Linked DNA regions of Oreochromis niloticus. The protein of the gene in region 4 interacts with the protein of the main gene of each other region in a pairwise test. Links are inferred from orthologs where the notes say so. Each region holds a gene or a part of one and is shown on either strand. Other genes may lie near its edges. The genes, in order: ppp2r5d, txlna, ptprsa and ppfia1.

Evidence for each region.
Region 1: the proteins of ppfia1 (region 4) and ppp2r5d interact in binary tests that used the Homo sapiens proteins (3 or more experiments, as listed by UniProt). The link is inferred for Oreochromis niloticus from reciprocal best matches to the Homo sapiens genes PPFIA1 and PPP2R5D.
Region 2: the proteins of ppfia1 (region 4) and txlna interact in binary tests that used the Homo sapiens proteins (3 or more experiments, as listed by UniProt). The link is inferred for Oreochromis niloticus from reciprocal best matches to the Homo sapiens genes PPFIA1 and TXLNA.
Region 3: the proteins of ppfia1 (region 4) and ptprsa interact in a two-hybrid assay, tested with the Homo sapiens proteins (2 studies listed by BioGRID). The link is inferred for Oreochromis niloticus from reciprocal best matches to the Homo sapiens genes PPFIA1 and PTPRS.

Annotation. Positions count from the first base shown.
Region 1 is NC_031978.2:2,409,110-2,416,874, reverse strand, and holds the start of ppp2r5d (serine/threonine-protein phosphatase 2A 56 kDa regulatory subunit delta isoform), read right to left. Parts: upstream 3,016-7,765; 5' UTR 2,340-3,015; coding exon 2,313-2,339; intron 1-2,312. UniProt on the Homo sapiens protein: The B regulatory subunit might modulate substrate selectivity and catalytic activity, and might also direct the localization of the catalytic enzyme to a particular subcellular compartment.
Region 2 is NC_031985.2:30,555,156-30,562,708, forward strand, and holds the start of txlna (alpha-taxilin), read right to left. Parts: upstream 3,012-7,553; 5' UTR 2,872-3,011; intron 2,262-2,871; 5' UTR 2,252-2,261; coding exon 2,062-2,251; intron 406-2,061; coding exon 148-405; intron 1-147. UniProt on the Homo sapiens protein: May be involved in intracellular vesicle traffic and potentially in calcium-dependent exocytosis in neuroendocrine cells.
Region 3 is NC_031980.2:33,544,379-33,552,042, reverse strand, and holds the start of ptprsa (receptor-type tyrosine-protein phosphatase S), read right to left. Parts: upstream 3,002-7,664; 5' UTR 2,693-3,001; intron 1-2,692. UniProt on the Homo sapiens protein: Cell surface receptor that binds to glycosaminoglycans, including chondroitin sulfate proteoglycans and heparan sulfate proteoglycan.
Region 4 is NC_031965.2:3,504,132-3,511,503, forward strand, and holds the start of ppfia1 (liprin-alpha-1), read left to right. Parts: upstream 1-4,363; 5' UTR 4,364-5,466; intron 5,467-6,954; coding exon 6,955-7,224; intron 7,225-7,372. UniProt on the Homo sapiens protein: May regulate the disassembly of focal adhesions. May localize receptor-like tyrosine phosphatases type 2A at specific sites on the plasma membrane, possibly regulating their interaction with the extracellular environment and their association with substrates.

The DNA.
Region 1 (7,765 bases), on a different chromosome or scaffold from region 4:
TACGTAACAAGTCACGTGACGTGACGCTGCGGCTGTGATTGGTTCGGCTCTGCACTACTTAATTTGGATTGGCTGTTCTTTTTTTTTTTTTCTTTTTTTTTTTTTTTAAGAGGACAAGAGAGATGAGGCCTATCGCAATAGTTTAATTTTTCTATCGAGAAAAAGTTATTTCGCAATACATATCGTTATCGTTTTATCGCCCAGCTCTAAATGCTGGCCAATCAGAGTTTCCGGTGTGTACGCTAAGACTCGATGAACACCGACCAGCGTTTCTCCTCCGAGTGAACCTGAGCAGCAGCACGGGCATCGCACTTTCACAGTTCTTATTTTGACTTTTTGATCCTAATTCAGGTTCCAGGGCGAGTTACTCGTCTCACTGTGCCGTGTTTCGATCTGTTTTTATGACTTTCAGTCTTTTTACGTCTTACTGTATGGAGCGCACGTATCACAGGTCATCAGGGAGGTGGGAACTTTAGCACACTGACAGTGAAATCACAACAGCTCCTCTATATTTTTACTTTAGTTTTCCAACTTCACAAAATCATTCTAGATAGACTTTCACAATAAAGGCTGCGTGAGCTCAAAGCTCCCTCTGCTCTTTGAGGTGTGCTCCCACAGGTGAACCCTCTCACCTGCTGAGCGATCCTTCATTCTCATTCTAACATATTTAACACGCGATCTCAGCCGCGTTTATCACAACAGCCATGTGCGCATCGCCACAGCGTGAGGACGTCTGCAGGCGTGTCACCAGCACACGGGATCAAACCCGAAGACAGGAAATCAGCACCGAGCCAAACCCTTTCAGCTTAAAAGTAGCTGATCTCTGCCAAAGTTTGATTTATTATCATCATCTTTTTAAATGATTTTCCATTTTTTAGTCTTCTAATATTTATTTATTTTTTTAAAAAAGTATTTTTATTTTTCATTAGGTTTTGTGTATTTTAGAGTTTTTATTTGTTTTTATATATTTACATGTTTCTGATTTTGAAGCTGTATATTTATGTTTTGGATGTCAAATTCTGATTTTGATCTTCTATGTTTCCAATTGTTTTATGGGGGTTTTTCCTTATAAATATATTTATATTTTTATACATACACTTTTCTGTTTTCATCTTTTCTTTTTTTTACTTTAAATGTTAATTTTATATGTTTTAGCTTTAATTTTTCTGTTTTTTGTTTTAACTGAATTTACTCATTTTGGGGTCAGATGTTATTTTTGATCTCATTTTGAAACTTTATTAATATTTTTAGGTTTAATTTAAGTCTTGTTTTTTGCTGTATTTTGCAGTTCTCTCATTTTTGCAAAGAATATTTTTTTAAAGATATTTAAATGGAATAAAAATATTTGATCGTTTAAACGCGTTTTAAATACTCGTTGCTGTGTTTGTGTTTTTATTTTATTCTTTAATACTTTTCTCGCTCATGTTTAAAATGTATTAATTTTTTTGTGTGATTTATTGAGCGAGTCGTTTTCATTACATAAATGTGACTTCAAACCTGCTTTTGTAAAATTATTTTCAGTTTAAAGTCGCCGAAAAATACAATTTCGGACATCGGAAACAGCCGATTAATCAATTACTCACAGAGAGAAGATCATCAATAATCAATGACTGTGGCCGTTACTTATCAGCAGTTTTTCTCTTTTGGCTTTCTTGCTGCTCCGTTCAAGTTTACAGACTAAACAAATAATCGATAACAATCAGCAGAACCGAACATAAGTGCTGGGTTATAAACTGATCAGTTATCTGATCATTACGATCAATGATTGATCAGCTCTGAGCGCTGCATCATTAAACAAATCGCTTTAATCCGGTATTTCTCTGGGTGTGTGAGGTGAGCTCAGACTGCGCTGTGAGCCTAGGAATCACAGCATCCAGCGGGACATCTACCGGTCATCCTGTAGTCTCAGTTAACGGCTAACCGCTTCTAGCGCCTCAGACCCTCTCCTTCAGCCGAGCCCTGCATCAATAATTCAGGCACAGTCAGCGACTCTTTCCGGAGCTCCGGCAACAGAGCACGGCTAATCACGGTGGCCAGCTACACGCTAATATCCCTGCTAAGTGTGCGCTCAAACACTCAGCAGGTGTGCGGTTAAACGAAGCGTCTCCGCGGCGGGCGCCGAGCACAGACTCGCGGCTAGCCGTTAGCTTAGCGGTCCTCTGCTAGCTGGGCCCGAGCTAACAGCTAGCAGGTGAGCTAGCCATTAGCTCGGTGAAATAAAACGTCTGAAGTCTCCAGCAGCAGAAAAAACACCCGCCACACCGAATCTCAGTGGAAAAATGCCCCGGGCACGCCAGTGACGCGGATCTTACCTTTTCTTTCTTGGTTTTGTTCGGCATCTTGACCGCGTTGCGGGGCTTTTCCACGGAGATTCCCTGATGTTCCTCCCCGGGACTCAGACGCTGTCACTCGGTCTGTCTCAGCTCCCTGCGACCTTTCCCGAGCCGCCCAATCCGATTGGCTGCCGGCCTGGACGTCTGCCTAGTGATACGTGGAGTGATTTTTCTGATTGGCTGAGTTTGAGTATAACGGCGAGGGTGAGGCTGCAGGAAGGTGAGGAAGAACTGGAGTCTTCCCCAGCAACAAAACACCTTCAACCTGATGATACCGAGCCCCGCGGACCGGAGCGAGCCAGAGAATCGCCAGAACCACCCGAGTCCCCCGCCTGTCCCCGATGCAGCGGCAGCAACATGTTATAATCACACAGACAGGAGCCCGAAGCTCAAAGTTCCAGCTGCACCCACTCACAGAATCAGAACCCAAGAACACATCTCAGCACCTGAAATCATACTTTTGATTCTTCAGCATGAATTTGTTGCAGCAACATGCCTAACCGGGGGAAGACCTCAGGGGAGACCCCGAACCCCCTCTTCTGGTCTGGGAGCGCCTCAAATTCCACAGGTGGACCCAGAGGTGTCGCTGAGGAGAAGATCTGGAGTCCCTGCTCAACCTGCTGCCACCGTCATCAGCGGAGGATGATGGATGATGGATGATGGGTCGATGGATGGAGGCAGCAACATGTTTGAATTAAGCAGCTCCAGATGTTTTCAGCTGTGTGCTGCAGGCAGTTTTACTTGTAATATTCCTTCTTTAAAACAAAAAAAACAAACAAAAAAAAAACTTATGTCATTTATTCATTTTTTCATTTCTTTCATTTTCATGTTTTCCAAGTTTGGGTGTTCTTTTTTATTTTACATTTTAAATTTATTATTTTTTCATCTCCATATTTTTCAAGTATTAGAGTCATTCCATGAAAATGGCACAATTTGAGTCCCTCTCGTCTCTTATGGTGTATTTCATCTATTGGGTCACCAAACTTTCTATTTAAACAGCTTTACATATATATTGAAATGTACCCTTTAATACAGTGTAAAAAAATTGAACTAATTTTTATCTTTTTATGGGAAATAATACAGTTTTTTCATTTGACACCACCTATTTTGTCATGTCCCTCATGGCCTTGATGAAAGTTTACTTTGAAAATACCAAATAAAAATATTTAAAAAGTCAATAAATTTTGGTATCAACCTAAACATCTATTTGTGCTTTTTTGCTGTTAATATTTGTTTTTTTTCAAATTTAATTGTTAATTATTCATTAAAATCACAATTATTCCTGTACCTGACTAACCCCTCAACCCCGTTACATGAATGATCCCACCGCCATAAATACAATGGTGTGACCCAGAATTCCATATACATCAGGAAGTGACATCACTGAAGTCTTTTGGACAACAGGACCACAGAGACAGGCAAGTTGCTCCATTCTTTTCCTTTATTTTAGTCATTTATCTTGTGATATTGTGGTCGTCAACCTCAATGACTCAACACTGTAACATGAAAAAAAGATAGAAAACTATTACTTATGAAAAAGTTTTTTGTTAGTTCATGAATATATGGTGATTTTGAATTTCATGCATGCCATGTGCTCTCTGTCTGGTATTCACTACATTGAGCAGCGGGCAGTTTGTGCAAAAATCTCAACCCAGTCACACTCAACCCTGTCATGTTTTTGATTGTAACGGGGTTGTGAGATTGTGATGGGGTTGAGATTTTAATACTTTGGTTGTTAAGTTATCCAATTATTTAAATTAATTATTATTATATTCAATCACCATTCTTATACTGCATGCATGCTGAATGTGATTCATGTTCCATGTTAAGGATGCGAGTAAGATGGCACCAACAACAGCAGCAGAAAGGCAAAGGAAGTATCGTGAACGCCTTAAAGCTGATCCTGAAAGAAGGGAGAGAAACCTGCAGAGTGAGCGTGAGAGATGGAGGCAACTGTCAAGGTGACAGTCAAGAAATCCGTGGAGGGCACACAAGAGGACCTCGTTGAGCTCTTCCAGAGCTTTGTAAAGAAATTTAAAATGCATGACTTTAATATCAAGCAGCAGTATGCCTTCTGCCGTGAGCTGAAGAACAACATGTCAGGGGAGGAGACTTTGATACATGTTGACTTCTCAGAAAACTACAGCTGTAAATACAGTTCTCAAATTCAGGTGGTCCACTTTGGGGCTTCACATCAGCAGGCCACCCTTCATACTGGTGTGTTGTATGTTGGTGGACTCTCAGAGCCTCTGTGCTTTAGCACCATCTCCCCCAGTAGACATAAAGGCCCTCCAGCAATATGGCAGCACCTAAATCCTGTGCTAGATTACCTTCAAGGCCAACATCCACAAGTGTCTGTGCTGCACTTTTTAAGTGACGGACCCTGTACGCGATACAAACAACGAAGAAACTTCTACCTTTTCACTACAGAACTGGACAGAAGAGGATTCAAGGCTGGTTCTTGGAATTGTTTCGAGGCTAGTCATGGAAAAGGAGCACCAGATGGTGTTGGGGGAGCCTTAAAAAGAGCAGCTGACATGATGGTAGCAAAGGGGCATGACATCCCAGATGCAGAAGAGTTATTCAGGGCCTTTTCTGAAACAAACACAAGTGTGAAACTGTTCTTTGTGAAAAGTGAAGATGTTGAGGAAGCAATGGAGAAAATGCCAAAGCAGATACCAGCTGTTCCTGGAACCATGAGAATTCACCAGGTCGTTACTGTAGCTCCAGGAGAACGGATGGTTCGTGATGTAAGCTGCATGTGCACAACACGGAAGCAGTTTAACTGCAAGTGCTTCAACACCAAGTGTTTCACTTTTGGCCAGAAGGTAGAAACAGCTGTATCACAGACAGGTAGTGGGGGGAATCCAGAAAAAGAAATCCAGTGGGAAAGTCCAGAGCTGATTGGTAAATGGTGTATTCTCAGATATGACGATGATTTGTATCCAGGCATCAGTCTAAACATACAAACAATACAAGTCCAGGTCAAATGCATGCATCATGTTGGCCGCATCAGGATGATATCCTCTGGTACCTGTCTGATGATGTCCTTGAACTCATTCCACCCCCACGGGCTGTGACAAGGCGCCATGTGGAAGTCTTGAAAGAGGTGTGGAACCGACTCACAAGATGAATTCATGAAACAAAAGGCACATTCATGCATATATACAGACACACACACTGATGCAGGCACACACATGCAAAAACACTCTGACATGGACACAGACACAGGCACTGATACAGACAGACACACTGAAATCGTTAACTGATTATTATTGTTATTGGTTCAACCAGTTCATCAAGTTTAATTGTATGTTATCGGAGCAAGGATGAGGTGACTTTTGGCACACCTGATGAGGCTCTCTTATGCCTAGACACACACACACCCACCCACTTTCACTCACACACACACACACACACACACACACACACGCATTATGTTACATTTGAGCAATTCACTTTACAATGTTTGTTAGTTGTTAATATGCTGTTGTGGTTGTTTTTACTTTAGATTAATAAAACTTAATTCTACTGCAATTTGTATCTGGTGTCCTTCCTATGGTTACAAAGTGAGATATAATGCTAATGGAAAGCCCTATACATTGAATTTAAGAGTAAACAACTGTTTATATGTAAAGCTGTCTCTTCAACCCTGCTAGTCTCAACCCCATCACACCTACATTTTCATATATTATTTTCTTAAAATGTTGAAAAAATAATTTAATGTTTGGGGATTTCTGTCTAAAATACTGAGTGCTATCATACGATCATTGATTTTGATTACAATTCTTACTTAAACTAAATTTTTGATGAAAAATGACAAGATTGCTTTCACTCATTAGTTACATTTCAGGATTTAAGAGAGTAAAAATGTGTGATTTTATGTCATTTTTCTGTGTAAAATTATTGAATTAGTATGGGGACATCTAATTACTGTAAACATATTGATTTCTTTAGAAATACATTTTATGATAATAACAGAGAGCCTCCAAAGTGTCCATAACGGGATTGAAGAATTGCAGTCACTACATCTTGAAAATATGATCAATAATAAAAGAAAACTAATGCCTGAGATGGGAAAATGCCTTTTTCTGATAGTTAAATATATCCTTAATGATGTGGGATATACATATAAATAATACATTTTGGTAAAAAATGTGAAAACATCCAAGTCCAATTTTAACCATTTTCGTGGAATGACTCATTAACATTTATACAACAAGCTCTTCTTAAACACAGAACATTAGAAACTACATTTCATCATACAAAGAAAACTTGGTTTATGGATTCAAATTAGCGATCAAAGGAATTTTATTCACGCGTTCATACTGCTGTTCATCTCTCCCACAGATGTGAATTCATATTTTCATCTCAACAAGCTTCTCTGAACCTGCACATCTGCTTCAGCAACCAATCAGATCGCCGATGAGGACAGATGTTCCTCCAGATGTTTTCAGTTAGCATCAGACTGACAGAGCTCGCAGACTAATTTCAACTTCTTATTTTTAATTTATGTTGTTTAGAGACAGGAAAAAAAAAAACTAACAAAAGCAGTGGTCCTTCACTTCAACCAAACTTTATTTGTCCAGCACAGAACAAATAGCTGACAGACCATTGGCCAATCAGCCGATCGCAGGTTTGATCATCAAAACAACATCAAAGAATTTAATAAAAAAATAAAAATACAAAACTGATTTTTTATATTCAGGCAAACAATGCAAAGAATAAATAAATCATTAAAAACATAGAGAAACATCAAAATCATAGAAAAGTTTTTTAAGATTAACCAGAAACTTGAAAGGGAAAAAAATCAAATGCATTAAAGCCCCTTTTTGAGCTTATAAACGAGCAAATCGAATGACCACAAAACATTAAAATGGTAAACTAACATTTAGAGAGAAAAAAGTGGAAAATTCACATTTTAATTTGGAATAAAAATCATTCAAATATGTTTAAAATTACTACAAACAAAAAGTAAAACATAGTTGTGACTCTTTAAAAACATAATAATTTACTGGCTTTGACCATAATTGACTTCATCGTGTTTTTCTGGCATGCACGCGCACTTCTGTACAGGTTCCCATCCTCTTACCTTACTCCAAGCAGAAAGAGCCAGGATCCAGGACACACCTGAAAACCATCAGGCGTGACATATACCTGTTACACCAATCAGAAATAAGATGTGCAGTGCGATTGTGAGACACGTGGAGCTGCAGCTTAAACACAGTCTGTGTGGGAAGAAAGTTTTTAGACTTTTACTGAAGCAAAACTTGTAACAGCACAGACGTGAAACAAACATACTCCACATTACAAACATATACATGTTACTAATGCATCATAATTATTGATGTGTACATTTCTTACATCCAGCAGCTGTTCATAACTTATACTCGGTGGTTATCTGCACTCCAAGTAGTTTAGAGTATAAACCA
Region 2 (7,553 bases), on a different chromosome or scaffold from region 4:
TTTGTGTGCAGTCATAAATTTGCATTTTTAGTTGATTACTCACAATCTTTCCACTTGGATCACTCCTTGTGCAGGGCGCTCACGCTAATTTCTCCCACTTATTCCTATAAATCTGGCCAAAACACTGAACACACTTCCCCCTCTTACCTAGACCCTTCACTTTTTTCTTCTCCTGAGTTTTCTTCTGCTGCTTTCCCACACCGCTGTCACCACCATTGACTTTGCTTTCCTCTGGCTTGTCATCTTCCCTCTCATTGGTCAGGCCATTGAGCTCTGGGCTGTGTGACTGGCCGTTAGCTAAGGCGCTGGCGTCGTCTGAAATGCTTTCCCGACAGTAGGTGCTAAGGATGTCCTCCAGCTGCCGGCTCAGCTCCTCTGCCATGTCACACTGAGACAACGGAGCCTCTGCAGTTACACAGAATGGAGGGGAAAAAAATGACTCTAGCTGCTTTTCTTCTTCTAAAGTCAAATATGTTGCAGTTTGGTTTTTCAGTTCATAATAAAAAAAAAATTTTTAAAAACAGACAATGTAGAATTCGACAAATATAACGAGAGAAATATGAAGCTCACTCCCTACAAGACCATGTCAGAAATACTCCTTTAAAACAAAAAAAAAACCAAAAAAAAAACACCTAGATTATCAGCTCAGCAACAGTTTAGAAGTTTAGACAGTTTATTTACAATATCTTGAAAATAAATGAGAATCTTTAATTGATTTGTGATTTTGAGATGCTTTTAGGCACCGTCCTCAACCACGACGCACATCTGAAGGCCTGTGACTGGCGTTATCATCACAGATGATCACATGGTCAGCGTTTCTACTTCCTAACTGTCACTTTGGCCATGCTGGATCTCACTTAGCAAATTAAAGGCTTAAGAATAAGAAAAATGAAACAACTAATAATAATAACAACAGCAAGCAAACTATTCTAAGCAGTGTAGAGTCTGCAAACATTAGTGGTGCCAGCATTATAATATGGAGCCGGAACCTGCTATTAGTAAATTCTGCCAGTAGACTATCATTGTCCGTATCTGCTAACACTGCTTATGATGCGTGCATCTAGCATGGCACTGAAACTGATGCAGAAGCACTTCATAGCTGGAGCTTGACAACTGAGATGCAGAAAATGAAAGAGGCACTGAGCTTTTTGATTGTATACTTTGTCATACTGCTGCTAAATGCTGTTTGTCTGCAGAGGGTCTATTGTAGGGTCTACCTTACAATATAAAGTACCTTGAGGCGACTGTTGTTTTTCACAGCAGTATTTGAATTTATCAGTGAGGGGATAACTTTTCCTCAGTATAAAAAAAATAATTATCCTAGCATCAATATCAGGACTCACAAATGTCAGAAAATTCCTGGAGGGAGACTGCTGAAACTATCGGAATGGACGTGAAGGAATGTACACTAAGAGGGAAAACTTCCCTGAAAAAAAATTGACCACAGCAACAAGCGAGGACCCAGGAGGCACTGCATGTGAAACACCGGGACAAGGCCCTATGTTAATTAACAAATAATGCATCAGCACCAGCATAAATGCACTTACATAGGTTACATCTTAGGCTCTACAAAGATTCCCCACAGAAGTCTAAAGCAGGCCGGAGAGTGCAACCCCCCCACAGCTTGTAGTGGGAAGGACACACTAACTAAAGCACTGGATCATATGTTGCTATTAGCAAGCTTCCTTGCTTCAAATCAGAATAAGAACTATCACCACCAACTCCCAGGCCAATTAGGTAGACAGCAGATGAATAATTTTCAAAAACGAAAGATTTTAGAGCAGGAATTTCTAAACTACAACAGTCAACTGAAAAAAAATGTGTATGTGTGCCTCCTCCTCTCACAGGGACTAAACAGGTACATGTACCCTTCTGGCTGGCAGGTTAATCAGTGAAATAGAGAAAAAAGCTCTACTCCTACATCTTGGTTGCTTGGTAGACATACGCATGCACAACTGGGAAACAAGATGACAAACTTGAGTCACAAAGACTGATGATAGGAAGGTTTTAGCCTACTATATAATCTAGTCCAGCTGGGATTGACATGAATTCAAAGTTTACCTCCCCCTGCCCCCTCCTCGCCCTGTGGCGGTGTATCCGTCTGTGGTGTCTGTGGTTCAGACTCTTTGGGGCTGTTGCTTTCCAAGCTGTCCTTTGCAGCTGCAGGTGACTCTGTCCCTGCTGCTGCAGCTGTGGGTGGAGCATTCTCAGCAGCCTGAGTGGTGGACTCTTCGGTATCTTGTTTTTTCATCTCTTGTTACCTGTTACAAGGAGAAAAACCTGCCATGGTTAGCTCAGAGGGATGGAATGTAATAACAGCAAGTAGACTTATTTATTGAGCAACACTTAATCGTCAGCGCAAATGAGTCATAGAACATTAAACGTAATAAAGTTTCTCTTTCCTAGCCTAATAAAGCCTCGGCTGTATGGGGACACAAACAAAGTGGCAGCAGCCGAACCACAAGCGAAATAAACCTGTAGTTACTCCTGCTAGCTGTGCTCCTGCGCAGTGCAGTAACGTTTCCTGATGGACTTGTTTTTAAGTTTTGGTTTTAAGACAAGCTCCGCACGATTGGTTTGGTGAAACCTGAACTTTAGCCTGGAAATTCATATCCATTTCTATCCTCCAAACATTAAAGAGTAACTTTTTTTAGCTGCTTTCTTTTCTACCGTGCCCTGTCCCCATTAGCTTTCACTTTGCGTTAGCTAGCAGAAGCCGCCAGAAGCAGCTAAACTAGCTTACACAACTGCCAGGTAGCCACTGTGAGCTCGTATATATCGGGCACAAACTACTAAAACAAGAAGGCACACTACACTGCTACTTGCTTATAAATGATACATGTTGTTTACAGGTAATATACAACTGTTTACCTTTAGAGTCAAGGAGGAAATTGCTAATGTGTCTGTAGGTTTCCTTAACAGCGTGAGACAGAAAAAAAAAAACCTCACTTCCGGTAATAACTTTGGGTTCTTCTTCTTCTTTGAGGTTTATTGGCGCTCGGCAAACAACTTGTTGGTGCTTTATCGCCACACGCTGATCAGGAGGGTCAATTACAACGTTACAAAGCAGCCCCTCAGTCAAATTAACTAATGCTGAAATTAACTAATGCTTAAATATGGCGTGATAACACATTTACTGATAACATTTTCATCGTGAGCTTTTCAATAAATTGAGTTATTTCTTCCTATATTTCTTATAGCATAGCATGTGTTCTATTGTTTTCTCCTATCCACAGTTGTAACTCTTGCCTGTTTTATGTTTCCCTATTTTAAACAGTGCACGTCAGGGGTGTCAAACATAAGGTCCAGGATTAGCCGGACAAAGACCCACTGGGTGCATTTGGAAAATGTGATGAAAGACATGAATTTTTGGACTTATAAATATAATTTAATACATTTCGCAGCTTTTCTTACCGATAAAGATCTTCCTCATGGCTATTTTAACTACAGCAAATTAGTTAAATAACAGGTATTGACCATAGAAATTGTAATTTTTTTTTTTTACAAAGGGTCCACAAAAAAGGTCATGTTCTGTGAATTACCAGAAACTTTCTGTTTCTGGACCATCTGAGCTACAACTGATGTTTTTTGTAATTTTATACATTTACTTCTTATAATTTAAGCCCAAAGAGTCATACTGAAAGACTGATTACAGTAGCATCTCTTTATCACTGAAAAACAGATATTCAGATACACATATTATTTTTATTAAGATGTCCAATTGATTAAATAGTAGTTCAATTCGTGTACAGAAGGGGGATTTTCACTGGTTTGTCCCACTTAAGATGAAAATAGAATGAGTTTGACATTCCTGGTGTACGGTTTAGTTCAGGGTGTAAAACGCTTTTACAGATGTGTCCAAAAAGCAATTTCTGATGTTTCTATAAGTTTTCTATGTGTAGTACCTTTGCTTATAATTTTAAATAGAGGTGTCAACATGATTCATGAAGGGGTTATATATAAAATAAAGAAATGAACTGTATCTTTAAATCTTTAAATTCATTATAACCAATCCAGTCCTTTTTGGTCACAGTGTTTGCTACTCTCTTTGCCAGATCTCTCTGGAAAATACATTTTAATGTCAGTCAGATGCTTTACCAAGCAAAGCCACTTTGCCAAAAACTAATTGCAGCTTCTACCTTGTGACAGGAATGTCCTCTCGGGCTCAAAATGACTTGATGTCATTCTGCCAAACATGTGTTTGCCACATGTTTGGCAGAGCATAGGCCAACATATCATTTTAAACCAACTTTATTGAAAGTTGCATTGGGATCAAACACCACTGTGTACTTTTTGGGAGTAACAGACAGACTGAACTTAGATCAAAACTCACCATATATTAATAGATTTGTTCAATCATTTTCCACCCAGTTTTTACAATAAAACCCCAGCTGATCTGCTGAAGGTTTCTTCCTGTTAAAAGGGAGTTTTTACTTCCCACTGTCACCACGTTGTCTGACTGTTTAGGTTTTCTTTCACTTTTTTTTAAAAATTTTACCACCAATCACTTTTTGGCACAACTGGTTCCATCCTGCTAACTTTATTTATCCCAACTTGCATCTGTATTGTCATCTTTTCCTCCTCCCGCTGATTTTGCAGCCTTTCTTTCAGTTTTTGCTCATTTCTGTCTCCCGCTGCAGCTAATTGCTTAATCAATTAAAATGCTTTTTGTTTCTATGTTTGAAAACCTTGTCTGACATTTTGTTTCTTTTTATATCATAATGGGCTGGTACACATAAATGACTGAAAGCCCCATCATACTGCACCATAATCCTGCAATGAGAAATTCTGGATTTTTTACTGACCACAATCATTTGTATAAATATAACTGCGGTAAATTTAAGTATGTTCCTGCCTGTGCTGTATGTGCAAATCCTTTTAATGCTAATGATGTGTTTGATGTTTAACTGATCTGTTTCCATTTGTGCTGCTTTCTGTCACACTGCCCTACCAAGCTTGTTCATTTTCATTCTCTTTTCTCCTTCCTCCATCAGCATGTGTGGTGTTGGTGTTGATACAGTAGCTTCTTCCTGAAATTCCTACTTCATGAGTTGTTGGGATCTACAGGATTCCAAGTATTTTTTATTCAAATAAAAAGAAAGAAAGACATAGACTGTATATTTAAAAAAATCCATATGTTAGTATGACCTTGTTAGCCATTTCTGTGTCCAAACTGAGTTCAACTGAGTTTGAAGTTAGTACAACATCTTTAGATGGAAAGTAGCGAGCTATGCTCTGACTGAAGGATTTCTAAAAACCTGAAACATACAGCTCTGCTTTCACTCTAGATGGAAAACTAAACAGCAGCAATGTTTGCATGAAAGCTGGACTACCTGGTGGCTACTACAGAGCTCTAGTCCCATTGTCATGGTTAACAGAGCAATATAAACAGCACAGTTAATGGTTGAGAGTCCCTGATGGGCAGATAAATGCAACGGCAGGAAAAAGATGATGAAAATGGACCGAATGTAAAAGACCAGCCTCTGAGTGAGTCTTTCCTGAAGACTTCAAATATTTACCATTTGACAAACTGTCAACCCATGGGTTGTAGCATCTTAAGGCCTAAAAAACCACCTACAATAGGTGAAGAGTGTCTGAAAGTCATGTATACCTTACACAGGACCTGAGGGATCCATCTGCTGTTCACTGAAGCCTCATCAGAAATGGTCTGAGTGGAAGAATGGCTTCCAAAAAGCCAGTCTTAAGGAGGCTGAGCCAAATTACACAAGAACTGGACTGTAAAGTCAGTGGCAACAGGTGTGCTGGAGCAATTAATCCAAATTTTAATTTATTTTATGTGAGCAGAGCACAACAGTAAGTGCCTACAGCCATCTATAAAACATGGTTGAGGAAGAAAAACTGGCGAAATTCTGAATGCAGAAAATATGATTTTGATCCAGCATGCAGTCTCCATCTGGAAAGTGTCTGACTGGCAACAGCTTTATTTCTCCGCATGAGAATAATCCCAAACACACTACCAATGCAGTAAAAGCATACGAGCATAGAAGAGAGAGGGAAAAAAGTCAAAACACTGTTGAACACGATCAGTCATGACTGGCCTGTCATTGTGCGATCAGCTTGACAGGTAAAAGAACAATAGCTTTGAATGTCCTTCAGTAAGTCTGGAGAACGACTCCTGAAGAAAAATTTCCTTTGAGACATTAAAAGAAAGTTTGTCTACGAGAGTTCTGTGTTTAATACAACTGGTGACACCCAATCCTGAACATCAGGCTTGTAAGAATTATACCAACTGTTTTTGCCTTCTATGGCATATTTACATTAATGTTTCCACATTTCAATAATTATAAATCTAAACAAATTATGTTTCACATTAAATATCACCGTCAACATTCCAACATGAAAGAACACTGAGGAAGAAAAACTCATTAAAGGGTTGCAACATAACTTTATTGGATTTGTACAATATTTCCACTGAACAGTTTTTTTTTAACTCTATGATTTCTTTACATTTTTTATATTGTTGCCATTTCCTGTATGCATCTTTTCTTCATGTTCATGTTTGTGTGTCATGTTCAGTTTTGAAGTGTACTAGTTTCTCGTCGCTCATTCATACCGTCGGTAAAAGTCAAGTCGAGTCACAGTTTAAAGATGGGTCGTTTGGAGCAAATGAAAAACCATAAACAAGAATAGAGAAAATAAATACGTGTAAAAGAAATGAGAGGACCAGAGCAGAAGCACGACTGGTCAGTGATGGCATATGAAAAGTATTATTACAAACACGAAGCATTGTAAACATTTGTAGCGTAGACGTTGCTTTAGATTTTGATAAAGACACCAACAGCTCCTAGGACGGAAGACACGTCAGATTTGTGATTTTTAGTGATTTCTGTTCAATCCCCGATAGATTACAAGATTCCTGATCACGCAGCCTGACGAGGAACTTTAAACACATTTATCCAAAAATATAGCCCAGAATATCCTGATCAGGAAAAAGATCAAGAAAAGCAAAAACAAAAAAGAGAAGCTTGTATCCTCACCACCTATTTTTTTTTTTTTTTTTCGTGTGACATGTTCTAATGAGGCTTTTTCTCCACTTCTTAGAAGTGATTAGAATTACATCTGAATCCCTGTCAATGTATCAGAACATACATATAGTTTAAATTATAATACTTTTAATGTAAATCATTGTACTATTTCTGAATCCCAGATTTATTTAAACTTCTTTTGTTTTTATCTTAGAAAAATGTCAAGTAGTAGCCTGTGTTCGCTCCACCCAGTGGAAGGAGTGTCACCTGTGAGAGCTGCTCTTCCTGTAGGTGGGCCTTTGCCTCTCGGGGTGGCTGATTTTCTTTTTTTTTGGACAATGTTTTATTGCAGTCTTCTGGATTAATCTGCACATTTTTCCAACTCCTTAAAGAGCGCCTGAATTTAAGAGAAAAGAAAACTCAGGAGTGAGAGAGCATGCCATCTAGTGCGGCTTCTAATGAAGAGAGGCAAGGTTTAAACGGCCTGAAGGAATCTGTCAGTCATTCTGACCGGGTCGACACAAGCCAATCACATAAAGTCATACAAACTAAACATCAAGGAAATTT
Region 3 (7,664 bases), on a different chromosome or scaffold from region 4:
TTGCACCTCAGCCACCCAAGCAACTAAGATCTTGAACGAGAGGAGTATCAAGACATCCAGCAACACTATTATTTGTTAAAGAACAGTCCTCACTGACTTTATTCAGATCTTTGATTCTTGATCTGTATGTTAGAATGACCTCTTTTGCATGTCTAACATGGGTATTTGACTGCTCCATGAACACACAGTGGATGCTGAAGTACTGCATAAAATGTGTTCTCCAATTAAGTATGAAGGAAAGGCTGTTCTTCCACAGGCCTGTCAGACAGGAAAGACTGTGCTCTGCGATAGTGATCATTGGGTACCACTGCATCTTAATATTAAGAAGAGGACAGAAACATAGCGACACATTGTTCTAAAATATGGATCTGAATTAGAAATTAGACTGAAATATTAAAATCATAAAAATAATAGCCAAATAAATCCCAAGGGTGCTGTTCTGCCTAAAAAAAGATGAGGGAATACAAATCTGTATGTGTGCATGTCTTGCTCTGTGTGCTAAGCTGCATCACATCATTTGTTTCATCATTACGAAATCAGCTCTGCATATTTCTAAATCTTCCTTGCAGAAATCAAACTCTTGACTGTTACTGGAAAAAAAAAGATGTGCATGAAATGTGAAAAATGTAAAACTCGAGAGGCATGTGGTTGGTTGCTTGAATAAATTTGTGGTAGCATAAGTCAGAAGATAATTTAGGAAGTATCGTGGGCTATTTTCAGTGGGGGGCGAGGGGTGTATGCTTCTTCTTCTTCAGCCCACTGGTGGCTGTTAACCTGACTTGTTCTGATGTTCCTGGGCATTGTGTTTTGCCCGTGTGGAGGATGGGGCGAGGGGGGCGGGAGTCACTCCAAATTTCTCATGTGACGGAGCATAACAGGGAATTGTAATACACAGCAACATCATAAATTTGATTACATTACATAGCACCGCGAGCCTGTGAGCCATTTCCAGGCACCATAAAAAAGCTATAACTAAGTTACCACTGGTACAGAGAAAAATGAATAAAGCCATTTTCTTTTAACAACCCGGGCGCGGGCGAGATATTGTTCTCTCCTCTGGCTTTTATGAGCTTTGCAGACCCGCGATGCGCTCATTGCGATCGAAACAAAGAGATGGAACAAGATGGGAAATGCACAACTTCGTGAAAATGATAGACTAAATTGTTTTGTGGCAAATATGGCAAAACCAAACTCCAAATAAAAACACGCTGTTAGAAATAAGAAATCGCCTAAAAAGACTATCTCTGCTCTCATGAATAATAATAAGAATGAATCCGAATGATACCTGATGTGTTTGCTTTGCTTTTACAAAAATATTAAACTATGAGAGGAATCATCCAAATCATATGAAACTTAAAAAAATGGGTACTCAGTTTCTAGTCCGTGTCCGGGGGACTGTTTAATTTAGAAAATCTATTTAAGAAAATATATATATATGTATATATGTGTGTGTGTGTGTGTGTGTGTGTGTGTAAAACCAGCTTTTTTATTTTTATATATGTCTTCAGAGGCTATACACAAGGTCTTTCACGTCAAATGTCAGCGGGAGCGACAGGATCTACAGACGGGAGCAAATTCCAATCGTTTCGGAGTTTCCAGCTTCAGCAAGGACGTTACTGGCAGTTAGACAAAGTCAGTGTCATTGCTGTGCTGACTCCACCTCGGTGGCTCTGTGGAAAGCTCGAGTGGCGCACCTCGAAATGAGCCCAAATACGTTCTACAAGCCAGAGGCAACGTGATGCGCAAAAGCAAAAGCCCGTCCAGGGGCGCAGACCAAACCCCGCTCTCAAAGTCCAACATTTACAGCTCAGGCTTGAATATTGATCAAACCAGAGATCCACAGAGAGAAAGGGGAAAGAGATACAGGGGACAGAAATGATCGAAAATAACATTTTTACGGTCGATGCCTACGAGAAGAGCTGGATGTGTCCTGGTCTGAGGGCATGCTTATATAGCCGGATTCTAACGAAACGCCTGTCACGATTGACTTGGTCAATGAAACACCCCCCTGTGGAGATGCACTTGCTAGATGGAGAACCCCCTCCCAACACACACACACACACACACACACACACACGAGAGAGAAAGACAGAAAGAGAGAGAGCGAGAGAGACACACCCCCGCCCGAAAAAAACAGATGATTAAGAAATATGTAAAATGTTCCAAAGAAGGTCTATGGTGCGTAAAGAGGAGTAAAAGAAGACCTTAAAGAAATCTTGCTTCGCCTTTCTGCTGCAGAACCACCCAGGCTTCTTTTTTCATTTTGTAATTAAGTGAGTGGGAAAACAGAACAGAAAAGGGGAGCAGTGCCTGTTGCGACCGTCGTTCGTGAACGCATCCCCGTTATTCAAGCGGCAGAGATGCTCTGCCACTATAGCAGCACCTTTGCGAGGGCAGAGTCGAATCTCCCGCTGAGTCCGGGACTTTCGAGCATCTCGTTCCGTCGCTAAGCCCCGTTTCAGCTTGAACGTGCTTTCTTGCAGTATTCTGAAACGCTTTCTTTGGGGACTTGCCTTAGTCTCTGTGCAGGTGTTAAGACGACAGAAGAGATCTGTGCGCTCCCGGACCTCATGCCTGATGCTTCCCCCCCTTTCTTTTACACACAGATAAAACCATGACATAAAAACCAAGGTCTAGTGGAAGAAAAGTAGCCGAACACTGTTCAGGAAAACAGGCTGAGAAGTCTGCCTACCTTTTGTCGGCGTCGGAGTTCCAGCTTTTATTTTTTTTCTCTCTCTCTCTCGCTCTCTCTCAGCTCATAAACCCATCACATCTTCATGTTTAAAACAAACAATAATCCCCGGGTTTGTGTTAAATCTGTGCGTCCCCGCGGCAGGTCCAGTGAGGAACCGTACACGGGTTCCCCTGCCGGCTTAAGTAGTGATTTTAAAATCCACCCCAAGAGCGCAGGATGCTCAGGACGCGCCTGGGTACGGCAGGAGGAGTCGTTCCCTCAGCAGCAGCCGCCGTGCGCACTTGGAGAAACCAGAGCTCTGTCCGTGCAGAGAAGCTGAGGGAATGATGTCATGCGTCCGGCCCTCCCTCTCCAGCCACCCCTCAACTGAAGGCTCTCTCTATCTTCTCTTCCCCCTCCTCCCATTGCCCCCTTCTTTTATAAAGCTACTTTAACATTCTAATTTTATTATCACTACCTTTGTTGGTGTGTTTATTTAATTAATATTTTACTCATTGGCGACTATACATGAACACTGCTTTAAAAAAAAGGAAAAATCTAAATTTTTACAATGACCTATTTTGAGGAGAAGTTATTTTAACTCAAGATAATTCAGAATTATATTACAGCTTTTCCATGTATTCCCTAAACCCTTTCCTTGAGCAGTGGAGAAAAAAACGGGACTTTATGCGTAAGAAGAATTTGTTTTAGAATGCAGGTTTTTGCAGTGCTCCACTCGCTATGATGAAGTCATACAGTTTTCCCCCGCCTTACTAAAGGTTTCATCCAGTAGCATCACCAGGATCCCTTTACCCGCGATAAGAGGGAAGGCAAGTTAGCATGAAACAGGCCAATGCCTACAGCGCACTGTGTCATGGCAACCGCCCCCTACTTGGTGCAGCAGGGGTATCTTAAAGATAAAGCATCATCTCTTCGTATCAGACTTAAAGCATAAGCTCGTGTGTGTATCAAATATTACACTGCGAATGCAAACAATCCATCTCACTGGACTGTTATTTACCCATTTATTTAAACGAGACTGTGGATAAATTGTGTTCTAGTACACACATGTTTTTAAACTTCTAAAACACAGTTAAGAATAAGTTATCTCCATATGATATGAATTTCCTCTCTAGAAGATGTAAGGGCAAAATACAAAACTGCAACTACAAGAGCAAGGTGTGACTTAAGAAATGTATTATACTGACTTAAGAAATGTATTATACATAAGCCAGTGTGTGATTCATTAATATTATAAAATTATTTTTGTTTGGATTTACTGCAAAACCTTCACAATAGGTAGGAAGACAATGAGGTATTTTCTGCACTTTGCTGCTGACTGCTAAACCCCCTCAGAAAAAGAACAAAAAACAGAATGATAAGGCCCGTGAGGGCATTTAGTTAAGGGTTTTAGTTAATCAGATGTTTTAAGTGACAAGTCTGCCTTCCTCAACTTTGTCTAGTGCCACAGATGCTCTTACAGGGACAACCTTAAATTTAGCCTCCTGGAGCCCAGCCACTCATACTTCTCCTAATGCATGGAGTTGCTCCTTGAAGGAGGCACTTAGCCTCAAGTGGCCAAGAAATGGCAGTTGATGGACACTTGAAAACACAGGTTTTGTGTTCAATACATTGCTGCCTTCTATCAGACCATCTTTCCTATCATGCTGTTTTCTGTATTGTGGTGATAGACACACTCTCGCTTGTTGTCACCAGTGGATTTTATATATATATATTTTGTTTCAGCACTCAGGAGAGTAGTTGGAAAACCCAAGAAAACCTGAAGAACCATGAGCGCTCTTCTTGCCAGTTGATGAGTACCAGTCTGTTTGATGCTAAGGGCTAATTCTTGACCTTTTTGATTCCCCCTAGCTACATGTTCACAACATACTAATAAGTACACTGAAGATGTTTTAACATTCTCAGTTTCTCAGAAAAAGGAGAATAGGAAACCACTGATAACAGAATTATTGCCCTCTTTTCAAGTGTATGTATATCAGTTATACAATTATGTTTATGGCCTGTTAAACTTTTATTATAAAGAATAAGAAAGATTGTTTCCATCTGTTAATACACCTGTATACAATGCAAATAAAATATGAAAGAGGACTGAAATGCATAGCTATCCAAAGCCAGGAAAAATTTGGGCATTCATCCTCCTTCAGTGCACTTCATCCTCACCAAAGACTTACTCCGATCCCCATTTTTCAGTCTACAAAGGACAAAAGATGCAATGCATTATTCCCTGTGGTGATCAAACCGCTGCTGGATACACTGCATCAAGCCAGATAGAAGTAGAAATACACAGCTACATGTTGTAGCTGTGTACTGTGACAGTGTCGAAAAATATGTGGAACAACTGCTATGTGGACTATTCTCATTTGCTTTGTTGTCAGTCTCTTAGAAGACAAAGAAGTTCTTTCTAGTGAAGTGAAACTGAGTGTTTAACACAATGAGAACTGTCCACTTGGGCCACTGTCTGCACTTCTCATGCTGCTTTCTTGAACTTTAATTATTTTTTAACTCTGTTTTCCTCTTTGGGGTGAACAATTGTCACTCAATTCCTGCTTTTCAGTGACCCAGCAGTCTTCCTACAATTACCGTCACCACGGTCTGGCTATGCACCATTGTTTTTCTTAGGGTTTTTTTCTTTTGGTGGACTGCATGTAATCACATTTCCATACCTGGCACATCCAAGATTCTTCTCCACACACTACAGACTTATAGCAGTAGTTTGGCTCATTTCTGTACAGGGGGGAAAAAGTGTCCTTCTCTGGGATTGCACCATCCCTCTCAAACACCTGCCCTCGCTGCTACACCTCAAATGCAACCTCTCTGCTCAGCCTGCCTTCTGTTGCATTCTAGTCTTTTTACTACTGGTCTTTAAGACTGCAGTAAGAGCCTCTACACCTGTACAAGTGAACAATGAAGTTCCTTTGGCTTTCAGTGGGCTCAGAGTATCCCTAATAGTTAGAAACTACTGTGAAAACTACAATGTTTCCTAATTTGAACATTATATACATCTGCTGTTCAGTGGAAGTTCAATCAATGCTTATAGTTTACAACTGCATAATTAATTAATAATTATAATAATAATAAGCGCTCTGATCTTGTAACAATGTACATGCTTTTTCATCCCTTATACAAGCCGCACATTAACCGACTTCACAGATAAAATGTAAAGTTGGGTTCTTACACTTCTGCCCAGCCCATGGTGTGCATGGGGGCCACACTTTTATTTTGGTGTTCTTTCTGAGTTGTGTTCTAGGCAACACATGTTGTGTAAAAATACCACCTACAGCTGGTATATAATACCGACTGATTATGTGTTTCTCAGACCATGATATGTTGACTAGAGTTGGTGCGCGTTGGTGTTTGCTTCTGTGCTTGAAGAATAATCAAATAGCATTATTTCACCTGAAGACAGAGTGCTTTCTTCAGGACTGTCCGGACCATTTAATATCAAACATAATTTGCACCTGGATCCTCTGTATGCACCCTGTGTTTGCTGCTGGGTGCTACAAGAAATTACATACCGTTTGGTATCTCAGTTCCTCGACCTGATGGATTCATTGTACTCACAGCCACTCGTTTGGATTTTACTGTCTATTCAAAATATTTAAAGTAGAACAAAAAGTGACCGGTTGCCTAGGCAAAGCACATTAACTGTCTTATTGAGCTTATGTGATATAAATTTTAACAGTCATAAAATTAGCATGGTTTTGTAAAGACTAGACTAGAGAGTGTGCATGCACACGTGCACTTAAGGCCTTTTAAAGATGGCAGTCCTCAACTAATTTCTGCACCATCTGGCTAACATAGAGGCAAGGAAAAAAAAATCAATCAATCCATCAGTAAATAAATAAAAAAAATATAATTTGTGGGCCCAGTGGGGATCAGACTCCTAATCTAGGAAGTATGGAAGCCTTTCTCTACCCGCTTAGCTGGACATGACCGTGTGACCTTTAAGCCAAGCTAAAGCATTTAAGTTCCTCGGAATGATCATTTGATCGTCTTTTTCTTATCTTTGCTTTTACTTTAGATAATTGGACGTTCCTTTGATAACATCTGCTTGCACGCCTGCTCACACCAGACACTGTGAGCCAAAAGCCAATGGGGCCAATGGGGCAAGCACTTGGAAGTGAGCTGATGATGATCCAAATATACAGCATGCATTTGAATATTCATGTCTTGGTGACTCAGTTTGCTTTGTTCTCACATGATTCTCCTGCTCTTCACTGCAGTAAAGAAGTGTATCATGAAATAAGAAAAGAAGCAAAATTTGCAAATGCAGATATCTGTTGAGGCCGCTACTAAAACTTAATTTGCTATGTTTCCGTGCGTTCAATTTACCTCGGCGAGACCAATCTTTAAAGCAGTTAAGGGAATATTCTCCTGGCATACTGTCTGTTGTAACCTTGCCATGTCTTTGAGGTGGATGAGTCGGAGAGAACCACAGTAATAATAAAAAAAAAATCAGCTTCTACAAAGTATTAATAGACATCAGTCACACCACTGTGTCTCAGCAACAGTAGCTTTATAAGGGTTGCATCATCAGCCATGAAAAGACTATAGCTGAATTCTATTTGGGTTTTAATATAAATGTTTCTCTCAGTTAAAAGAGCAGAATTTTGCCTCGAGTCAATTAACTTTTCACTCTTTAAAGTATTAAAAAAAGACCATAACATCAGTTTTACACTATGTGGCAAACTCCAATCTGCTTTGAGTTCAATGGAATAATGTTACCTAAACAGCAGAAGGAGCTCATAACAAAATGAAATTATCCCAGTGAAACTGATATTCACTGTCATACAACCAAACTAAATAACAGAATTTTCTGTTGCTATTTATCCGAGGAAGGCTGAAACAGTTCCGGACACTTGATAGGTGGCATTGTTGGGGGACAGGTGAGTCTCCCTGCATCCTCATAAAAGGATTCTTCTTTTTTGTCTTTCTCTATTACTGTCAGCTTTCCTTCTGTCTAAATAAA
Region 4 (7,372 bases):
ATCACAACTTCAGACCTATCTAAATGCGAATAACATCTGGGATAAATTCCAATCTGGGTTTACACTGCACCATAGTACAGAAACGGCACTCTTGAGGGTCTTCAATGATCTTCTTTTAATTACTGACTCTGGGTGCCCCGCGGTCTTAGTTTTGTTGGACCTGTCCTCTACTTTTGATCTGGTGGACCATAATATCCTCTTAATGAGGCTTGAACATCTGGTTGGCATTATGGGTATGGCCCTTAGTTGGTTTAAATCCTACTTATCGGAGAAGTCCTTCTCTGTCAACATGGGTATCTACTCCTCTTCCATTGCCCCTGTTACCTGTAGTGTTCCTCAGGGGTCTGTGCTGGGTCCTATGGTGTTTTCTCTATATATGTTACCCCTTGGTCGTATTATTGAAAAGTACAAACTCTCTTATCATTGCTTCGTGGATGACATTCAAATTTATTTTGAATAGACTGAGGATGATACTTCATCGATGCTTCGCTTCTTTGATTGTATAAGTGAGGTTAAAGACTGGCTGCTGAGCAATTCCCTTATGCTAAATGACAAGAAAACGGAAATTGTAATCTTTGACAGTAATACCCCTAGAGCCCATCTAACTGGTGTCCTCGGGCCCTTCGCTGATTTTCTTTCCGATTCCGCAAGTAATTTGGGTGTTTACCTGGATGGCTCCTTTATGTTTGACAAGCATGTGTCCTCTGTTATTAAATCTTGTTTCTATCAGCTTCATTTCATTTCTAAGGCCAAGCCATACTTACCACATGAAAATCTAGAAAAGCTTATCCATGCCTTTGTCACATCCAGGTTAGACTACTGCAACTCCCTATACACTGGGCTTCATTCTGCCCTTCAGATTGCAACTTGTCCAAAATGCCGTGGATTGCCTTCTAACTGGTACTGTAAGGTTTGAGTCTATCACCCCAATTCTCACTGGCCTCCATTGGCTTCCAATTAAATACCGCATTGATTTCAAAATTCTACTGCTTACCTATAAAATCATAAATAATATCGCACCTAGCTACCTTATTGAGCTCCTCAGCGTGTATATTCCCAGTAGAACACTGACATCGTCTGACCAATTGCTCTTGGTGCAACCTAGGTCACGGCTGAAAACCAGAGGTGACCGTGCCTTCGCTTCACTTCGCTTCCTCCCTCATGCTATTCGCGTGTCTGTCTCAAGTCTTCAAGTCTCAATTGAAAACCCATCTTTTTAGTTTAGCCTTCCCGGCTTCCTAGAGCATGCCTTTTAAGTGTACCTTCTTGCCCTCCCCTTTTCCTCTCTTTTGCTTATATTGTTTTATCGATTTTATCTTTAAGTCTTACTTGCTTATCTGCGTACTTGTATGCTTGGTTAATCAATGCCTCCCACCTGCTAGCTTATCTGCTTTGTACTTTGCTACTGTTTTATTGGATTTTGTGAAGCACTTTGGCTACCTCTGGTTTTAAATGTGCTATACAAATAAAGTTGTATTGTATTGTATTGATCAATACAAGTGTAATCAGATTGATAGTTTCTGGGGGGGTTTTCTGTATGTACCGCTGTGGTCATCATAGAGGCAGTCTGGTCTGCCACTGCATTCAAGTATCATAGCACAGAAGAGCCACAGTTTGCTCCTCCTCTCCCCTCTTGTGCTGTGATGTTGTACTATCACGTGACTCAGAAGCACTAGGCAAGCAAGTAAGCATGCTCACACTGAAACATGTTATTTGAATAAAAACATTTAGTGGAATTGAAACAAATATACCAAATATAATATGCTTCAGATTTGATTGAATATAACTACCCTTTTGTGTTAATTGTGAAAGGGATACTGCATGATTACCATATTTAAACTACAAGTACATGTCCTACACACTTGATCATTTTATTGTTTCTGTTCTGGGTTTTAACTAATTAATTCAGATTAAGCCATTTGATGATGTATCCACCTTTATTATTAAAAAGCATGGTATCGGTATTGGTATCTGCCCTGTATTTATTGGATCAGTACCAAATCTTGCAGTCATTGCTACTGACTAGCTTAGCAGGTTCTAACCCTAACTTTTCCAGTGGTGCATCGGTAGTGGACAAATCCCCACAATTTGGAAGACATCCACTATCATACCTATTCCTAAATATTGAATGAATTAGCTGATTTCAGAGCAGTTGCAATTACATCAATTGTAATGAAAACCTTTGAAAAGATCTTAAAAAGTATTATTGTGTCCTCCAATAATAGCAAACTTGATTCTTTGCAATTTGCTTATCAGTCAAGTAAAACTCTTTTTAAAAAAAAAAAAACCACAATTTAATTTTTGTTGTGCTTTTAGAAGCCCCTCGAAAAACCCAGTTCTCATGCATGACTTCTGTTTGCTGACTTCTCCTCTGCTTGTAATAAGATACAGCCTCATATTCTGAGGGAGAGACTGGCCTCCCAGACCAGTTCCCGATGCCGATTTTAAATGTTCTTACTCAAAGGGTCCAACAGGTCCTCGTTAGTGGACAAATCCTGCAGGATTGTGTCGAGCTCTGATTCACCCCAGTGATGTGCTCTGTCACAACTTATTTTTATTATGTACACAAACAGCTGCAGGACTTCTTATGAGAACAGATTTATAGTCAAGTTCTCTGATGACACTGTCCTCTTGTCCTTGCTTTATGGCCCTGTTTTACCTGAATTTGTGAAGTGACTTGATGATAACTATCTGGATTTAAATGTCCATCCATTAATTTTCTTTGTTTGGGAATAGTTCCTTGTGTATTAAAAGTCCCATATATACTTTTAGTACACAAGGAACCAGCAGTCACCCACACTTTGAAAACATCTACAACACCGACAGAAGGAGGATGGAGAACCAGCTTTACCTGTACAGTGTCAGCAGAGACTGGAGGGGTCTCTGGACCATCTTGGACTATAAGGAGTTCTCAGCCTATAAGGGACACAAGTGGTCAAATGAACTGCATCACTTTTTTAATTGGGTTTGATTCATTATCTGCCCCCCTCCCAGGTCTGCTGCCACTGCTACAGCCACAGCCACCACTACCCCATCTCCACCTCAGCATGTCTTCACACTCCCAGTTCATTTCCAGTGTGCTGCCTCTCCCCCTAAGCCATGATCCTCCAATACACAGCCACCCTGTTTCTAACATGTTTCTGACTCTAATGCCCAAGAGGCTCTGCAATACCGCCACCAAAACACTGGGTGGAGGTAGGGAGTATATAGCATTGTTGGCCAATCTTTACTTTTTATTTGTGCTTCCTGTGTTTATTTTAAATAATGGTGACTACAAGGCATGTCATACTACTCCAACTGGAGTTGATACATCTTGAAGAAGAGATACTGATAATGAAGGAATTGCAACTGGAAAACCGAGGGTCTTGAGTTGTCACCTCACCAAGAACACCTTACTGATGTTCTTGTACCCCATTCCAACCTTGTACAGACCTGGAATGGAACAGATTGATTCTGTGGTGTGCAATGAAAATCTCTACATCTCCAGCTCTGCCAACTCCAATTAAGCCTCATGTCTTTTTGTCAGTTTCACCTGTCTCCCTCTTATTCACACACGTAGTCTGTCTTGCATTTACCTGTCAAACTATACATCACAAAAGGACTCACTGCCATATTTTAAACCTCAGACCTGTCAAATTGTTCATTAAAATTAAATTGCATTAAAGTTTTATTAAAATGCATTAAAGTTATAACTCAAACATTTTCTAGTGAGCTTCTGTAAAAAAATAAATTCTCAAAATATCACATCAAAATTGACAAAATAAATGAATACAAAACTTGTTGGGTTAATCCGTCACAAGAGGGCGTAAATGTTCTTTATTGCGAGAGCTTGGTTTATCAGTAACGACTGAATGTGGGCCAAAGAGTGAACTAAAGAAATTATTTGGAAAAAAAACAAAAACGTTTGGCTCTTCGATACCTTCTTCCAAAAGTTACATTTTAAATTATAATGGCTGAATTCGGTTAAGATGACCTCGGGGCCTTTTAAATCAAACTCTTAAATGTTCCTCTTAATCATAGTTACGTTATATTATTATTATTATTTATTATTATTATTATTATTATTATCATCATTATTGGTTCTACAAGCAAAACATAGACAAAAATACAATATTAAATGTTAAATGTAAGTTACATGTGTATTTAAAACATATCAGAATACAAACTATGGTAAAATAGCCTGTTTGATATTAGCCGAACGGTGAGACATCCGAGAACCTTCACAGACATACATCCGAGATATTGTAACCTGTAAATGTAAAGAAATAACAGTATTGTTGATGGAAAAGTCGTGCTTTGTCTCTGTCTTTTCAATACACGACGAGTGTAAGCTTATATCCCTACAGGAACTGAACGTACTGCTACTTCTCCACTTCCTCCTGTTGCCAACCTGGGAAGCGCTCTCTTCCCGTAGACTGGCAGGCTAAGTGCAAGCGACACTTAGCCCACCATTGGCTGTCCCGACTGCCGAAGCTGGCAGGCAGTGGCGACAGGGAAGGACCGGACCAACGGACCTTTTTGGTGGAAATACTGACAGAACGCCGGGAAATCGGGCGGAAACAAAGGGAATATATGTTTTTATAAGCGGTCTGGATTTCGTAAACAGACTGAAACGCTGCTAACGTTGAATGTTAGCTGGAAGTTTCCTAGCTGGTGCCGTGATGTGGTGACGCGACTCCACGGAATCGACGGGAAGCTAACGTTAGCTGATGCTAACGCTACTTGATAAATGAATAATTTTTAACAGAGCTTTTAAGACTCATTTCAGGATTTTAGCATTTTAGATAGTGTAAGAAACTTTTATGATAGATTTTATCATGTTATGTACTTTTATAATAAATAATGTTAATGCTTCAATGACTGCCTGACGTTTTTAAGCTAAAATAGAGCAGCAAACATTAGCTTCCTAGCTGGCTAGTAGCTAACATTGGCTAGTTGTCGACTTTAAACTGTCTTTAAGCCAAAGAGTCCTGTTTCAAATTAGCTAAACCGACTACGGCTGCTTATTTTTTTCACGTCACTTAACTGTATCAGTTAATGTTCACTAGTTATATATGAGTCAAACTTTATATCTGAGGATGGTCGTTCGTTTTGAGATGCAAAAATGAACGCTTCGTTCCAGAATCCAGATATGCAATCACCGAATCACCAGCTTACTTAGTGCTTGTTGGCTAGCGCAGAGTTAGCCAGTCAAACTTGGAATACTGCCCCCTGCTCACTTTATGCGAGTTTCGCTTTGAGGCCTTTTCTGAAATTATCTTTTTTTTTTCCACCAAGAGGACCCTTTCACTGCCTTAATGCATCCCTGCCTCTGAATGGAATTTCTGTTTTGAATGACTCTGGATACTTGTAAAGCTTGACAAGGCTCTAATCCACAGTTGGAGTTAGCTGGACTTGTTGACGTTTACTTCGTCATAACATAACCTGGATTTACGAAGGAACTTGGAGTAATAATATTCTTTGAAGGTGAGAAAGAACTTTAACACGAAACAACTTTAGAAAACAATTGTAGGGTTTAACCTAACTCCCAGACGTATCTGATAGCAGTACAATGGGCAAGCACTATACCGTCGATGCATTTCGGCTTCCAGCCATCCTCTTGATGGGGACCTAGTTCTTCATTAAAAATAATCATTTACAAAATGCAAAATACAAAAATACTTTAAATAGATTTGTAATTACTTTGACAATTGGTGGCCCCCTCAATCGTTTGCTATACCTCATTTACTACCCTGTTAGCCTTTATCTTCGCTCTGCAAAAAAGAAAAAGCTTCGAGAATCGCTCCTCTGCAAGTCAGCCAAAGTCCTCTACTTCCACTTGTCATCCTTTAGTTTTTGATGCATGGTGCAGTAGGTAGGTAGGTAGGGTAGGTAGTGCCCCCCGCCATCTGTCACTACCTTTATAAAGATCCTCAATGTGACCATCCCCCTCTTAAACATGGTTTATCCAGAGGGGCTTGACCTCAATAAAAAGCGTTAGTTTGGATTTTGCGTTTCACTTTGCAAGGGTCTAGTAGGTAGATTTGTTCTAAATAATTGGCATGTATCAAGAATGGTCCGCCTCAGTTATAGGAAAGTGCAGTTAAGTGTTTTTGAGATTTTGGTGTACCTAGCTGCTACGTGTTCCCTATTGGAAGTTGTTGTTCCTTTTAGGTTGGTTAAATCCAACTCACATGATTCCTGCTTGTCTGTCTGGGAGCCTGTCTACAGGACTTGAGCCGCTTGATATGGAGAGCGGCTTTATTACCCAGACCTTCTCAGCTTTTTCGTAAATTTAACTAGAATGGGTTAACGTAATTGTTTTTCTATAGACTACTATCAGCACAAACTAGTTAACCATTACAGTAAGTCAACTAGATTCAACTGATTTTGGTCTTTGTTGTCCCTTTTGTTAGTCAAAAAGCTACTGTGAGGGTTAATTTAAACTATGGAGATTAAATTACCCCTGATGAGGACTTTGAGACTTGCCCACTGTCTAATGTTATATCTCAGTGTGTTAATAATTTTGTTGATATAGGATCTGTGTGGGGGGGTTTTTTTGTTTTGTTTTGTTTTTCTTTGGTGTTCTTCAAAGAAGTTTTAGTATTCAGTTTTAACAAGTTAATATGCTTTTTGACTCTGTAATGTCCTAACAAAATAGCACACAGACCTCTGTTGCATAACACAAGCTCTTTGCCTTAGCATGAATATTGCATATACAGCTTTCTTTCCTGCATAGCTACGCCCAAATACTCATTCTGAAACATGTAAATGACACAGTTGTAACTTTGTTTTTATAAAACTTGGCTAGGATCATAAGCGAAAGAGAGTAATGAAAGTAAAAAGGAAATTATCCATAGCACTTAGTAATTGGTGTTATGACTTCTCCATGAGGGGTGAATTTTTTGCTTTATTGACGTGACAGTGACGGAGGGCCTTGTCTCTCCTGTTTTCTCCTGCTCTTTATTTTTGCAGATGATGTGCGAGGTGATGCCCACCATCAGTGAGGCCGAAGGCCCTGGTGGTGGAAATGGAGGAGGCCGTCGAGGTTCTGGTTCGCCACTTCAATCTGACTCAGAGGGTCACTTTGAGTCGTTGATGGTGTCTATGCTGGAAGAGCGAGATCGTCTTCTTGAGACCCTGAGAGAGACTCAGGAGAATCTGGGCCTGACCCAGAGCAAACTGCATGAAGTTAGCCATGAAAGGGACTCACTACAGAGACAGCTGAACACTGCTTTGCCACAGGTCAGTGAGAGAGACTTTTTTTCTTAAAGGAAAATCCTATTCTTAGTCCAGGTAGATTAATTCTTAAAGAAATTCAGTGTTTGCCATTCTACAGTTTCTGCCTGAGACTAAGCCTTTACTGGAAGAAATGGTACAGAGAGTGGTTTGG